Linked DNA regions of Saccharomyces cerevisiae S288C. The gene in region 3 interacts genetically with the main gene of each other region. Each region holds a gene or a part of one and is shown on either strand. Other genes may lie near its edges.

Region 1 (3,710 bases), on a different chromosome or scaffold from region 3:
GGTACCATTACTGAAGGGGTCTAATAGCATGGAGGAAGGATTGAGTACTAGAGAAAATTCTCTAAAACTTGAGTATACCGATTATGCCTGGATCATTCAATTTTTGCTAATTGTACCAATACCATCATTTATTTTGTTTAACAGTGTGGATGTTATCATGGACGCACTAAACCATACTGTCCAGGAAGGAAGTAAGGCTACATTTGATGTACTCAGGTTCGGAATGGTGGGCAGTATTTTGATCGCGCTACCAATTTTACCTTTTTTCTATAAGGTCAACTATATCACAATTTCTTTAACTGCACTGCTTTTCTTGATTTCCGCATCCAAAACGCTCCTAGTGCACCCCTTTACCAATAGTAACCCATTAAAAGTAAGGTTTTCTCAAAATATTGATTTGTCTCAAGGGAACGCTGCCAGTGTACATGTCCTTGGAAGAGAAGGAAATTTTTTAAAACCTATGCTGCAAGATTTACCAAGTATAAAATATAGCTCTACACATATTAACTGTACTTCCGTAACCAATGGAATGGAACTTTGTATGTATGATGGAATGCAACCTAATTTATTGAGCACGAATGGAAATACGAACATCAGCAGTATGGTCAAGGTTCATGTTTTACATAATAACCGAAACTCAACAGAGAGATCTCCTTACGAACCAATAGTTGCAGAGTTACTTTTGGAGGTGAAGGAGAACAGGGCTTGCACTTTAACTTTTGAAAGTAGACATCAGGCGAAGTCACCTGTCAGAGAAATCACGGTATATCAAAAGAAAAATTCGGCCCCACAGAAAGCTAATATCACGAAGACGATCAAGTCTGCTTCTGGCATAAACGAACTGCAATTGCATAAACTTGATTTCGATCAGGAAACTTACCATATCGGAGTCCAGTGGTTTCCAAAACTTTTGACGGATGGAAATGTAGAGGATGACAAGTTGGGGACAAAAGACGAACTGTCTGTTTCTATTAGCTGTTATTGGGGAGAATATGATTCGGAATCGGTTGTAAATGGTACCGCTGTTAGGAAAATTCCAGCATTTGATGAATTGATAAATTACGCACCTCTAAGTTTTTCCTTTACCAACGAACAGAAAGGATTAGTTATTGTCAAGGATGCTATAATTTTATAATTCTAATTAGTTTTAAATGTAAATTTTTATAAACTCAAATTCGCCTACTGGGGGAGTTGTCCAAAGGCTTCGCTTCTTCCCACAAGAAGAACAAAATAATAAAAAATATTTTGAGAAATTTTTCGTAACAAAAGGAAAAACTATTGAGTTTAACTTATGAATGTACTTTACTGGCCAAGAATCCGTCTGGAACCATTCTACGGTGCTCTCTTCGTAGCGCTAAAGACAGCTATAGTGGATATTCAGACGGTATTGAAAATCACTAATGATATCAGTTAACAAAGTAAGAAACATGTTTCGTCAGATAAGTTCTACACTGCTGCAAGTGCATACAATGCTCGTTTTTATAAAGTCCTAAATTATATAACCCTCCAGTAACTATTAGAAAATAGCACGCAATAATGCTAGCGATATACAAATAACCTGTAAATCTATATATTTATTAAGTATAAAGATAATGGTCTTGGAAATGGTTCTTCAGGGATTGTGATTGACTATAGCCGGATATCGTTTGGATCAAGAGCTTGGTTAAGCGGATATTTAAGTTATTTTAATATATCGCTTTGTCCAAAAGCAAGTTTTGGAGGTGGGATCTCAATTTACACGATACAGTATTAACCAAATCTTGATAGCAAAAAAATGCAAAATATCGTATAAGTGAAGGCAAAGCATTGTCCAATGTAAGGTTCTGTGCCGCCCTTCCCTTTTTTGAAAGCTGCTAGATATCATTGTTACCCTTTTTAATTTCTACGCTATTCTCGGACGTCATAATTTTATAGTTACTGACACTAAAAAAAGGGTCGTACGTCTTACTGGCAGCGCCGAAAAATGTTTCGAAAATACACCTTAACACATTGAAGTAGTGATGATTTCATAAAAAACCACAAGAATTTGTTCGCTAATACATTAATTCGGTACTAGACTTTATTGACTCGTATATTTCTAACGAATAAATCACCCACTCTTGCTATCCTAACAGTATTTAATATTAGCTATTTAAAAGCCTTAAGATGGACTATGGCTACTTTTTTCCCGCACAACGTATTGAAGAAACAAATGGTGTGGATTTTTGGATAGACAGTAATGCTGAATTTACACAGTCTAAAAGACCTGACTCTTCAACATCCACTCTTTCGAGGGTTTTAACGGACACCACGAATGTATCCAATAATAGTGGATCACTCAAAAGAAAAACCATCAAGAACAAAATATTCCCACAAAGGAAAATATTCAACGATAGCGAAAATTTTGACTTTGGTAAAGCCAACACTGATTGTAAGCATGTGTTTAAAAGTATTTCTAAGCAACTGATTTTTCTTCCAAGGTGTTTCCAACATCACAGTATCCGAGGCTGGATGAAAGACAGATACTCCGAATTTGGTTATAAAATAAAAAGAAATCAAAATTGTCCCCCCTCAGCATGTGTACAGGCACTATACAATACTAGTAGATCCAATACCGAAGAGTCAAACCCCAACAGTCTGGATTCTCTGATAATGTATAAATACATGCGATACTCTGAAAAGAAAAAGGAATTGATGTGCAGATTTTGCCAGGGGAATAATTGGATTCTAGCTGAAAACTACCTAAAACATTTATTCTTTGCGCACGGCATTTTGTCTGAATTTAAGCCTCACACTTTATACCATTTCGAGTCTAAGCTGTTAAAAATCCAGGGAAAACTTAATTTCAAAATTCAAGTATTAAAAGAGCCAGAGTTTAGCAAAAAAATTTTGAACTCTCTTACTGTATCCATCATTCCCTCTCCTTTGGCCTACTACACTCAAACGTTGAACGGGGGATTTAGGAGAATCCATGTGAAATGCCCCCACTGCGAAAATTGGATCCGTTTGGGTTGGTGTGAATACGATGAAATCATTAGGGATTCCTTTCAGGATTTCGAGTCTCTAAGAAACCTCAATGCTGATTATAATGGGATGTCGTATATTCAAACACGCAATAGAGAAGACATTGAAGGTATATACGAGAATTATTTTACACACTACATCCAATGCGACTTAGCCACGTTCCGAACGAAATGTTTATATGTCCAAGTTATAACAAAAAGCAATTGATTGTGTACGCAAGATATTAAAAATAAATGATCATATAACAAATCAAACAAAATTTGCCGCTAGTAACGAACTAAACGATTACGAGACGGCTGATAAATACTAATATTCACCATCCTAGCGAAGAAACGCTTTAAATTTATAACGGTTACCATCCAAAATAATGAACATAAGCAGATCTGGCACCGTAGCAGCTCATTGGGGAAAAAAAAGCTGTCATGTAGGGCCCTCTGAGCATAATAAAAAAAGAAGATGCTTCCGTTCAATAACAGCGATAGGTAGATGGGGGAAAAAAAGGAGAGGAAGATGAGGCCCTTATGTACGTGCATATATATGTGCGAGTGCACGAAAGTGCACCACGGCAATCCGCGTAATCAAGCTTATGTAAATGGCGTGTCTGCGTAAACTCTGTCCCTGCGAAAATGTGTTTATTTATAGACTGTTCGCATTGTTTTTTCCAGCCCCCATCCGGAGACGCATGAAAAGGTGTGGCCTCGATACAT
Region 2 (5,005 bases), on a different chromosome or scaffold from region 3:
CATGTTAACAACGATCAGTTATTTTTTGTGGACGATGGTGGTAACGAAGATAGTCAAGATAAGAATGAAGATACCATGGACGTGGATGACGAAGATGACTCTTCAAGCGATGATTATTCTGAGGACTCTGAAGAAGCTGCTTGGATAGATTCGGATGATGAAAAAATTAAAGTGCCTATTCTTGTTACCAATAAGACAAAGAAATTAAGAACCTCCTATAACGAGTCCAAAATCAACGGTGTTCATTACATCAACAGATTGAGATCTCAGTTTGAAAAGATATATCCAAGGCCCAAATGGGTGGACGATGAATCTGATTCTGAATTAGATGACGAAGAAGACGATGAAGAAGAAGGCTCTAATAATGTTATTAATGGAGATATTAATGCTCTAACGAAGATCCTGTCTACTACTTACAATTATAAAGACACTTTATCGAATTCCAAACTATTACCCCCTAAGAAACTTGACATTGTGCGTCTTAAAGATGCAAATGCATCACACCCGTCTCATTCCGCCATACAATCTCTTTCATTCCATCCTTCTAAGCCTCTACTGTTAACGGGTGGGTATGATAAGACCTTAAGAATATATCATATTGACGGGAAAACGAACCATCTAGTGACAAGTTTGCACCTGGTTGGGTCTCCAATACAAACATGTACTTTCTATACTTCTCTATCAAACCAAAATCAACAAAATATATTCACCGCCGGTAGAAGAAGATATATGCATTCCTGGGACTTATCCTTAGAAAATTTAACTCATTCACAGACTGCCAAAATCGAAAAATTTTCCAGATTGTATGGACATGAGTCCACTCAAAGATCATTTGAGAATTTCAAAGTTGCACATTTGCAGAATTCACAAACAAATTCTGTCCATGGAATTGTCCTTTTACAGGGTAATAATGGTTGGATTAACATTTTACATTCCACTTCCGGACTATGGTTAATGGGCTGCAAGATAGAAGGTGTGATAACGGATTTCTGTATCGATTATCAACCTATTTCACGTGGTAAGTTTAGGACCATTTTAATTGCTGTAAACGCGTATGGTGAAGTGTGGGAATTTGACTTGAATAAGAATGGCCATGTTATAAGAAGATGGAAAGACCAAGGTGGCGTGGGTATAACAAAAATCCAAGTTGGTGGTGGGACAACAACTACTTGTCCGGCTCTTCAAATAAGTAAGATAAAGCAAAATAGGTGGCTTGCGGTAGGTAGTGAGAGTGGATTTGTTAATCTTTACGATAGAAATAATGCTATGACCTCGTCGACCCCTACACCTGTCGCCGCCTTGGACCAGCTAACAACTACCATTTCTAATCTACAATTTTCCCCTGATGGTCAAATACTGTGCATGGCATCCCGTGCAGTCAAGGATGCTTTGAGACTAGTTCATCTGCCTTCTTGTAGCGTGTTCAGCAACTGGCCTACCAGCGGGACGCCTTTGGGTAAAGTTACCAGTGTCGCATTTTCGCCATCTGGTGGGCTACTGGCCGTGGGTAACGAACAAGGTAAAGTGAGGCTCTGGAAATTAAACCACTACTAAATTTCCATTTATAGACAAACTTAGATATTAAAAGCAATGTACAAATACATACACAAAATATCACTGTAAAAAAATTGCGAAGAAACTTGAAATTGAATATGATTCTGCCCACTTTTTTCTTGCTGTCATTTATAGTCAGAAATGAAAAATTGTCCGAGAAATTAAATATAATATATGGAAAAAAAGGGGACATTGAGTTTAAAGAATTTGATTAAAATGTCCTCTCAATATCCTCTGTAAGAGTTATCTAAATCTCACTTTACTTATTCATCTCGCTGGGAATTATGCAGGCGGTAGAGAGAAGGCCCTCGTTACTCTTTGACGAATATCAAAATTCTGTTACTAAGCCTAATGAGACGAAGAATAAAGAAGCCAGGGTCTTGTCAGAGAATGACGGTGATGTCTCCCCATCTGTTTTGAAACAGAAGGAAATATCAGTCGATGATATGGATATGATTTCTTTGCCCACGGAATTTGACAGGCAAATGGTTTTAGGTTCACCTATGTTTTTCGATCTTGAAGACGAAGAAAACAAAATTGATCCACTTCCTTCAGTTTCCCATCATTATGGAAATGGAGAAAGTGACAGCTTTGTCTCATCGTACACGCCCTCAAATCTGAAAACGGGTGAAGAAACTAAAGATCTTTTCATTAATCCGTTTGAATTGGTTTCTCAAATGAGAAAAAGATACATTGCTGCTTCCAAACAAGATGGCATTTCAAACATAAAAAATGACACTGAAAAGTGGTTTTTATACCCAAAACCACTGCCAAAGTTTTGGAGATTTGAAGACGATAAACGATTCCAAGATCCCTCTGACTCTGACTTAAATGACGATGGAGACAGTACTGGGACCGGAGCCGCTACACCGCACCGCCATGGCTACTATTACCCAAGTTACTTTACCGATCACTACTACTACTACACAAAATCTGGTTTGAAAGGAAAAGGAAATATAAAAGTACCATACACCGGTGAATATTTCGATTTAGAGGATTACAAAAAACAATACATTTACCATTTAAGTAATCAGGAAAATACGCAAAACCCACTTTCACCTTATTCTAGTAAGGAGGAGTCACTAGAGGAAGAATTTTTAACAGATGTGCCTACGTTTCAAGAATTTAGGGATGATTTTGCATACATAATAGAGTTAATCCAATCTCATAAATTCAACGAGGTTTCACGAAAGCGATTATCTTATTTATTAGATAAATTTGAATTGTTTCAGTACCTAAACTCTAAGAAAGAAATTTTAGCTAATAAAAATGTTCCCTACAGAGATTTTTATAATTCTCGTAAGGTAGATCGAGACTTGTCTTTAAGTGGTTGTATTTCTCAACGTCAATTGAGTGAATATATATGGGAGAAAATAAATTTAGAACCTGAAAGGATAGTTTATCAAGACCCGGAAACGTCAAGGAAACTCAGTTTGAGAGACATTTTTCAGTTTGGTTGTTCTTCTAATGACCAACCCATTGCGATTGGGTTGAAATTGATTGATGATGAATTCTTGGATTGGTATAGAAATATTTACCTAATAGATTACCATCTAACTCCTAACAAAGTAGCAAAGTTGGTCGGCAAAGAAATGAGGTTTTACCTATTAGCCAAAGTGTTTCTGGAGTTTGATAATTTCATTGAAGGTGAGTACCTAGCAGAAATTTTCATAAAATACGTTATTCATATCCTCGAAAAATCAAAGTACCAATTGGCCCAAGTATCAGTTAATTTTCAATTCTATTCCAGTGGTGAAGACTGGTACAAGAAATTTTCTCAATGGTTGCTACGATGGAAGCTAGTATCGTATAATATCCGCTGGAATATACAAATTGCCAGGATTTTTCCCAAACTATTCAAGGAAAATGTCGTGTCAAATTTCCAGGAGTTTTTGGATCTTATCTTCAATCCTTTATTCACTCTGGAAAAGGAGCAGTTACCAATAGATTCATCTGTAAATACTGATATCATTGGTCTGCAGTTTTTTTTATCAAATGTGTGTTCTATGGATCTGGTCATTAAAGAGTCGGATGAATATTACTGGAAAGAATTTACTGATATGAATTGTAAGCCAAAATTTTGGACAGCACAGGGTGACAATCCAACTGTTGCGCATTACATGTATTATATTTATAAAAGTTTAGCGAAAGTTAATTTTCTGCGGTCACAAAATCTTCAAAATACAATCACCCTAAGAAATTATTGTTCTCCACTATCCAGCAGAACTTCCCAATTTGGAGTGGATTTATATTTTACAGATCAAGTTGAATCGTTAGTGTGCAACTTACTGCTTTGTAATGGTGGTCTGCTACAGGTAGAACCGCTTTGGGATACTGCAACAATGATTCAATATTTATTTTATCTCTTTCAAATACCCATTTTAGCTGCGCCATTATCATCTGTTTCATTACTGAATTCGCAAAAATCGACCTTTTTGAAGAATAAAAACGTGCTTCTAGAACATGATTATTTGAAAGACCAGGAAACAGCCAAAATCAATCCTTCTAGAGATATCACTGTGGGCGAACAAAGATCATATGAGACAAATCCTTTCATGAAAATGTTTAAGATGGGACTAAAAATTTCTTTATCATCAAAATCGATTCTTTACAATAGTTCATACACGCTAGAACCTCTCATTGAAGAATACAGTGTAGCAGCAAGTATTTACTTGCTGAACCCAACAGATTTGTGCGAGTTGTCGAGAACAAGTGTGCTATCTAGTGGCTATGAAGGTTGGTACAAGGCTCATTGGATTGGCGTTGGAGTTAAAAAGGCGCCTTACTTTGAGGAGAACGTGGGTGGGATAGATAATTGGTACGATACAGCGAAAGATACCTCGATAAAGCACAACGTTCCGATGATTAGAAGAAGATATAGAAAGGAGACATTGGATCAAGAGTGGAACTTCGTTCGGGATCACTTTGGAGTAATTAACTCCATTTGGTAGGGTAAAGTGAAATATCAACAACTTTGCATAGTAAGATATATATATTTATATAGATACCTTAAAAACTGAAAATGAAAACTTGAAAGTTAAGGAGGAGGAGAATGCGTCTTTGTTTCATGAAATATTTTTTTCATTTTCCCAACTTGGCTTGATGTCCCTGACAGACCTCATGAATTCTCTTAAACGTTTCTTGTCACGTAGTGCCCTCTTAGCGTATTGAGGGTTACCGTAGTAAAATAGTTTAAATTGGCTTTGCTTTTCATCACAGTGTTCGGGGTCTAAGTCAATCGACAAATCTAGCACAGCAACGCTACGTTGAAAATACCACTTGTTCACCACATTGTCTTTTCTGCTTCTCCAAAGTATCTCATTAGGAAATTTTTTGAACATCAAATTGAAGATTATATCAGATATACCCAGCGAGCCTTTCAAGTGTGGTAGAACGGCGAACTTATCGAGATAAACAAAGGAATTTTCCTCCGAGCCTTCATAGGTAAGAA
Region 3 (7,807 bases):
GCAGCCTGGAATTTTTTTTTCAATTCTCGCCGAATAGGAGGATTGATGAGCTGCCACTATTGAATTTTTGAGGAAGAGTGGCTTCAGCATGTAGTTTTCCTTTCTACTAGGCCAGAAAAGCAACTATACAAAGACGAAAGCTTCCTTACTCGAGGTTGAAAAGAATAGCAAAAATCTTTCCTTTTCAAACAGCTCATTTGGAATTGTTTATAGCACTGAATTGAATCGAAGAGGAATAAAGATCCCCCGTACGAACTTCTTTATTTTTAGTTTTTCATTTTTTGTTATTAGTCATATTGTTTTAAGCTGCAAATTAAGTTGTACACCAAATGATGAATAACAACGGCAACCAAGTGTCGAATCTCTCCAATGCGCTCCGTCAAGTAAACATAGGAAACAGGAACAGTAATACAACCACCGATCAAAGTAATATAAATTTTGAATTTTCAACAGGTGTAAATAATAATAATAATAACAATAGCAGTAGTAATAACAATAATGTTCAAAACAATAACAGCGGCCGCAATGGTAGCCAAAATAATGATAACGAGAATAATATCAAGAATACCTTAGAACAACATCGACAACAACAACAGGCATTTTCGGATATGAGTCACGTGGAGTATTCCAGAATTACAAAATTTTTTCAAGAACAACCACTGGAGGGATATACCCTTTTCTCTCACAGGTCTGCGCCTAATGGATTCAAAGTTGCTATAGTACTAAGTGAACTTGGATTTCATTATAACACAATCTTCCTAGATTTCAATCTTGGCGAACATAGGGCCCCCGAATTTGTGTCTGTGAACCCTAATGCAAGAGTTCCAGCTTTAATCGATCATGGTATGGACAACTTGTCTATTTGGGAATCAGGGGCGATTTTATTACATTTGGTAAATAAATATTACAAAGAGACTGGTAATCCATTACTCTGGTCCGATGATTTAGCTGACCAATCACAAATCAACGCATGGTTGTTCTTCCAAACGTCAGGGCATGCGCCAATGATTGGACAAGCTTTACATTTCAGATACTTCCATTCACAAAAGATAGCAAGTGCTGTAGAAAGATATACGGATGAGGTTAGAAGAGTTTACGGTGTAGTGGAGATGGCCTTGGCTGAACGTAGAGAAGCGCTGGTGATGGAATTAGACACGGAAAATGCGGCTGCATACTCAGCTGGTACAACACCAATGTCACAAAGTCGTTTCTTTGATTATCCCGTATGGCTTGTAGGAGATAAATTAACTATAGCAGATTTGGCCTTTGTCCCATGGAATAATGTCGTGGATAGAATTGGCATTAATATCAAAATTGAATTTCCAGAAGTTTACAAATGGACGAAGCATATGATGAGAAGACCCGCGGTCATCAAGGCATTGCGTGGTGAATGAAGGCTGCTTTAAAAACAAGAAAGAAAGAAGAAGGAGGAAAAGAAGGTTATAAGGGTATGTATATAGGCAGACAAAAAGGAAAATTAAGTGCAAATATAAACAAAAATGTCATAGAAGTATATAATAGTTTTGAAATTTCTGTTGCTTCTATTTATTCTTTGTTACCCCAACCACAGAATTCCAAAATTTTGTTTTATGTAATAATTGAAATACTATAAATTTCTCAACTATATTCGGGGTGTTGTCACTGTATATCTGGCGCTTTCAATAAAGCTGGTACAATTGCGTATTTTTCTCGGCATTTGCCACGATGGGCTTAAGAAAGATCACAATAGAAAATTTCAAATATTTAATATTTGCGAAGAAGGGATTTGTTCAGTTATGACGATTAGATACATATGTAACTTACATGCAAACGGTTTTTGTTCATGGAAATACGTTCTAGTGAATGTATAAATCGATTGATGTCGAGATATGAAAAGTTTACAAACACTATGTGAAATCTCATTGATGAGAAATCATTCAAACATACAATCTGTGAGTAATGTCCCCTATCACTTATTAAAGAGGATACTGCAGAAAGTAAAAATACCACAACTATTAAAACTTGAGAAAAGCAACGTACTATTGATATTTGACGATGATGAACTATGGTTAGAATTTTTAAGGCAAGATTTCCCGACTAATGTACACGAACAATTTGTCTCTAAGAGAGACATTATTTGCAAATATTACTTTGATTTCGTTAAGGAAAACGATATAGAACTGTACCATTCGAATCAGGATTTATTGAAGTCTTGCGTGCGTCAATCAGTCGTCAAAGACATCCGAAACAACAAGTACCGAATACCATACAGAATGTTATACTCAAAGTACCAACAAGAAGTGGAAAAGAAACAAGAGGAAAGCGCAGAGAGATTAAGGCTGGAAATGCAGAAGTTGCAGCAAGAAAGAGAAAAAAAGCAAACCATAGTGGTTGACCACACTGTTTACTTCAAAAAGAGAAACACCAAGAAGACTACAAGGTTGCACAACGAACCCCATTCGCAATTATACATGAAATCGTTGAAAGATCACGAGTCCAGACTAAAGCATTTCAAAGACGGCGGATTCAACATTGCAAAAAGGCATGCGCAACGTGTGGCCTTTGGTGGCCAAGCGGGCGGACAATCGTCTTCCCCCAAGAAAGGCCCATTGTCCATCAAACCGGAGCCTGTTAAGGTAAATCGTCAAATGGATAATGTCACAGCAGAGAAGAAAGATGTTACGCAGCCCATCACGCCGGTGAAGAAGAGAAGATCCGAATCACCGTCAATCTTTCTCAATCGTAAAAAACCTGCGCTATTCAGGCCTACTCCGAAGACAAACGCTGCAGGTTCTCGACCCCATACAACAGCGATCACCAACGATCACCGTACTACTTCTCATCCTTATCCCCACAAAGATGTTGTAACTTCAATATCAAGTGTCACCGCAAATCCCGTAACAAAGGGCCACAAGAAGAAGAAATCCGGAATTTTCGTACGAAATGCCGGATCTGACGGAGATAGTTTTCCGCACGTGACCGCAACCGGCCCTACTACCCGTCCGTATATCTATGAGCCACGGAAATAGCAGTAACCCAACTCCGAAGGCCGTCACATCCCCTGCGATTTCCCACGGGTCCAGTCATTCCGCGGAGAAAGAAAGCAACCGGAAGCAACGGCATCCCTGCTTATAAGCGATTTTCGCGTTGCGCGTCATCTTTTTGTCTTCCGTCTTAGTAATTTTTATGATTTTTTTCATTCCACCCGACTCTATTTGAGTGCAAGCATGCGATATATCTCTCTATATATTGCCAGATCTTTATCGCAATAGGTTCATGCACTATATGCGCATCCCACTCTTGTACATGCACAATATTGTGCTCATTGTCTGAATATATATATATTTATATATATATATGTATGTATATATATCAGTTCTAGATAGACTAATACCACTTCTTCGTTAGAAAAATATTTCAATCCTTATTTTGTTTCTAACTGTTCCCTTCTCTCCATCCAACAAATAATACAAAACCACTTTATATAAAAAAAATTACAAAAGCAAAAAATGTTCAAGAGATTTAGCAAAAAGAAGGAGGCTCCAGAAGACCCAAAAAATTTGATTAATATTGATAAGCCTATCAAAGAACTTCCTGCTTCGATAGCTATTCCAAAAGAAAAACCACTTACAGGTGAGCAACAAAAAATGTATGACGAAGTGCTAAAACATTTCAGTAACCCTGACTTGAAGGTTTATACAAGTGAAAAAAATAAGTCGGAGGATGATCTTAAACCCTTAGAGGAAGAAGAAAAGGCATGGTTGACAAGAGAATGTTTTTTACGTTACCTAAGGGCTACTAAATGGGTGCTAAAAGACTGTATCGATAGAATCACCATGACTCTAGCGTGGAGAAGAGAATTCGGTATTAGTCATTTAGGTGAAGAGCATGGTGATAAAATAACTGCTGACTTGGTGGCCGTCGAGAACGAATCAGGTAAGCAGGTGATTTTGGGTTACGAAAACGATGCTAGACCTATCTTATATTTGAAACCGGGCAGACAAAATACAAAGACTTCTCACAGACAGGTACAGCACTTGGTCTTCATGTTGGAAAGAGTTATCGATTTTATGCCAGCTGGTCAAGACTCTCTAGCTTTGCTAATAGACTTTAAAGATTACCCTGATGTTCCTAAAGTACCTGGCAATAGTAAAATCCCACCTATTGGTGTAGGGAAAGAAGTGCTGCATATTCTACAAACTCATTATCCAGAAAGACTAGGAAAAGCACTTTTGACGAATATTCCTTGGTTAGCATGGACTTTCTTGAAGTTAATTCACCCTTTTATTGACCCACTGACCCGTGAAAAGCTAGTTTTTGATGAACCATTTGTTAAATATGTCCCTAAGAACGAACTAGATTCGTTGTATGGTGGTGATCTGAAATTCAAGTACAATCATGATGTTTATTGGCCAGCTCTGGTGGAAACCGCGCGTGAAAAAAGAGATCATTATTTTAAGAGGTTTCAAAGCTTCGGTGGTATTGTAGGTTTAAGTGAGGTTGATTTAAGAGGTACTCATGAAAAACTTCTTTACCCAGTAAAATCGGAAAGCAGTACCGTGTAAAGGCAAATTTAGATAGATAATGATAATGCACTATAATATATAATAAATAAAAGAGAATAAAAAGTTTAATCACGTTCCCGCTTCTTTTTCCTAACCATCAAAGAATGCAATCTAAAGAAGAAGAAGCGAATACCCTCTTTTAAATATATACGCGTCTATATGCACTGTAGATAAGCTGTTACATATCAAAAAGGTTTGGCACATTTGCGCTTTTCTGTAGCGCCTGTAACCGGTGAAGTCATCATTTGCCAGTCTGTAGCATACATCAATCCACCAGCACCATTAGCAGCTCTGGCGAACACGACCCCAAGGTCATTCCTTGCAGTGGTCAAATAGTAGTTGGTTCCGTCACCTAATGATAAAACTTGCGCCCTAACAATATCTCCCGGCTTGAAACATTCTATCACTTTCACACGATCTCTGTCTGTAGACCGTACATCCTGAGACCTGATTATACCTCTGAATGTCTCACCTAAATCTGATGATGCTTGAGAAACAGAGAACGTAGCTGCTCCAGAACCGCCACCAGCAGCGACTATTCCCGATCCATTACTGCCGATGCCACTATCAATTGGAGATGGTTTATCTTCCACAGCTAAAATTTCGACATTGGCTCGTTGCAACGAAAGCCTTGTCACCCTGGTCAGCACAATATCACCTTCCTTCGGTAGGTTATTGGCAAAATCATTATTAGCATATTTGTTGGTTTTACGACCCTTTTCTGTCCCAGGAAGCACTGAAACCAGAATATTTTTTACAGTTCTTCTTGTGACATCATTAGGTGATGCATCTACTGATTTTTCTTCCTCTGTAGATTGATCAGTGCCTTCACGCTCTTCTTCCTGATCAGTTTTTTTTTCTTCCTCACACCTCACTGTCCCAACTAGTGTAGCAGTTATAGCTTCTAAAGTTCGTCCGTTGTGTTCATATTGAATTAGTTTAGTTCCGGGACCGGGCACATAATTGAAAATTATATCTTCGCCATCTTTATTTTCCGTACCGTACTGTGGGCATATTAGTTTACCTGGATAAGCTATTTCTGGAAACTGAAAATTGCATGCCATTATAATACACTTATAGATTGAGGTATTCAATGCTCTGGAAAAAATCAAAGAATCTTTAATATACAAATGCGTAGTTAATCATGCCGTACCATAAGCTCATCATCAGTGAATTCTGGATCTTATTTTTCTTTCTTTTTTCAATATTTTTTGGAAATTTTTACTTCACGTGACGGAGACGGGTAATGCAGACGGTATTTTGAAATGATGCCGCAAATACAACACATAACACCCAAGATTCTTGCGATAAATTATAGGTTTATAAAAACTAGAATGTCTTGATATGTATGATTTGATTCATTTCCATTTCTCCCAGTTTTCTGCTCTAATAAAAATGTGTGTAACATCGCGAATCATCGTGTACTTCCATTGCGCTCTTTAACTCATTTAATTCCAATTTGATCATTTGAGCCAGTTGTGGAGTAAGCTGGTTACAAGTGGAAATTTCTGGATGTCTATCATATTCGAATTCTCCATAAGTGTCGTAAAGTATTATCTGGGACGAAAACCGGACACCCTGGTCATTATTACTGTTTACATACACCTCACCTAGACTTGTTAAGTCTGATTTTACGGGAGAATCAGGCGTCATGGAGTCAATAAAAGAAGTATTCATTCTTGGGGCTTTTAGTCCTTTAAAGGACATTGAAACAGGTCTATTGGGTTCGAATTCTGGTAAATATGCATTATTTCTTGGAGTAACTTCTATGGGCTGTTCTATGTGTTTGTTGAAATCTTCATTCTCAAATTCGTTGTCATTTATTTCACTTCCGTCTTGTTCAAATGTATGTAATTGACCTTGACGCTCATCTCCGTATGTAGTAGCTCCAGCAGCGGAATAAGATTGAGTTTCTCTTTCTTTGTAACTATCCTCTTTGTTATTTCGTGTATCAAAAGTACCAGAGCGATTTACTTCATCATTTCCAACAGGTTCAGGGGTTTCTGTTGCATATGAGGCCGTTGTATCTCCCAAGTCTAGGTCTAGATTGAGATCATCATCACCGAAGTTAATAAAACTTGCAAACTCCATTATATCAGAAATTAACTCGTTATCATCATCTGCAAAAACGCTTTGCCTTTCAGAATCCTTCTTCAGAGGTTCTTCTCTTGGTTTTGGTACATCCCTTTCAACTTCAGTTTTTTCTTCATCAGAGGCCATCACTAGCTGGTCAAATTTTTGTTCAATAGACTCTAAAAATATGTCATCTTTTTTTAGTGGACCACTATCGTCCTTGATATCTAAAAAGTCCTCATTCGTGGTACCTTCGTAAGAGTGTTCTCTGGAGAAATTATCTGAGTATTCGAACCTTCCATTCTTTAAAATGCTGCTAGCAGGAGACTTCGTCAAGTCTGGAGTAGATAATACAACAGAAGATGCCTCAGTGATGAACATTCCCTCACTTTGCGCTTTGATCGATAGCGTATCTGTCAATGACCTTCTTTGCGAGTTCATTGAACTTCTCTTGTTAGACTTTGTAGATCTTGTTCTTTCTAAAGAAACGATCGAGTCGACTTCATGATTATCCAAAAATTTTGGGAAAAGAACCTCACCTGTATCGTGTTTGGAAAATGCTGGTGAGGGTGCTTCGTAGTCCAGTGATAAAAAATTATCCTTGGTTGGTAATTGAAGATCATTTTTGGCATCATCATCTTCTCTTACGTGTTCTTGTAGCGGGGTATTTATCTGTTTATCACCTCCCAATATGAGATCCATGTTTAAAGGAGTAGGTTTTCTCTGATCAATTGATCTCGTTACGTGATCTATTTTCACGGGAGTATCGTCGTGGTTTTTTCGTAGTAGAGGTGATTCAGTGGATAACACTGATGCGGCGTCAATTATTTGTTCAGTATCTTGCTTTTTGTCCTTGGATTTTGGGGTTCTTTTTTTTTGCCTCATTGGTTCCTTTCGAGGTGAGTCTGATGTTTCAATTTTTCCCTTTAGGAAGGAATTGAAAATGCTACTGCTACTGTGAGACTTCTTCTTTAGTTTTTCAGGCGTTTTTAAAGAGGTTTGAATATTCATTGAGAAAGTGCTCGATGAAGACATCTTATTTTTTTCATTCGTTACACTATTATTACCAATAACTGGTTTCGGTTCTTTCTTCTTCAGAAATGAAAATATACTCTTTTTCTTTTTATGCATAGAAGTGTCTTCAAGTACCGAGCCTGCTGAAGTAGTCCTTTGGGCAGAAGAATCAGTAT

The links. A genetic interaction does not mean that the proteins touch.
Region 1: mutations in ELA1 (region 3) and ECM8 together harm fitness more than expected from each alone (negative genetic interaction), as found in Saccharomyces cerevisiae (2 studies listed by BioGRID).
Region 2: mutations in ELA1 (region 3) and YJL070C together harm fitness more than expected from each alone (negative genetic interaction), as found in Saccharomyces cerevisiae (2 studies listed by BioGRID).

The regions. Positions count from the first base shown.
Region 1 is NC_001134.8:388,082-391,791, forward strand, and holds ECM8 (Ecm8p), read left to right. Parts: upstream 1-2,145; coding exon 2,146-3,210; downstream 3,211-3,710. Other genes in the region: PFF1 (Pff1p), read left to right, coding at 1-1,135. UniProt on the Saccharomyces cerevisiae protein: May be involved in cell wall organization and biogenesis.
Region 2 is NC_001142.9:307,471-312,475, reverse strand, and holds YJL070C (metallo-dependent hydrolase superfamily protein), read left to right. Parts: upstream 1-1,838; coding exon 1,839-4,505; downstream 4,506-5,005. Other genes in the region: UTP18 (Utp18p), read left to right, coding at 1-1,554; ARG2 (acetyl-CoA:L-glutamate N-acetyltransferase), read right to left, coding at 4,620-5,005.
Region 3 is NC_001146.8:212,724-220,530, reverse strand, and holds ELA1 (elongin A), read left to right. Parts: upstream 1-1,868; coding exon 1,869-3,008; downstream 3,009-7,807. Other genes in the region: URE2 (glutathione peroxidase), read left to right, coding at 330-1,394; PDR16 (phosphatidylinositol transporter), read left to right, coding at 3,489-4,544; exosome non-catalytic core subunit CSL4, read right to left, coding at 4,730-5,608; BNI4 (Bni4p), read right to left, coding at 5,931-7,807.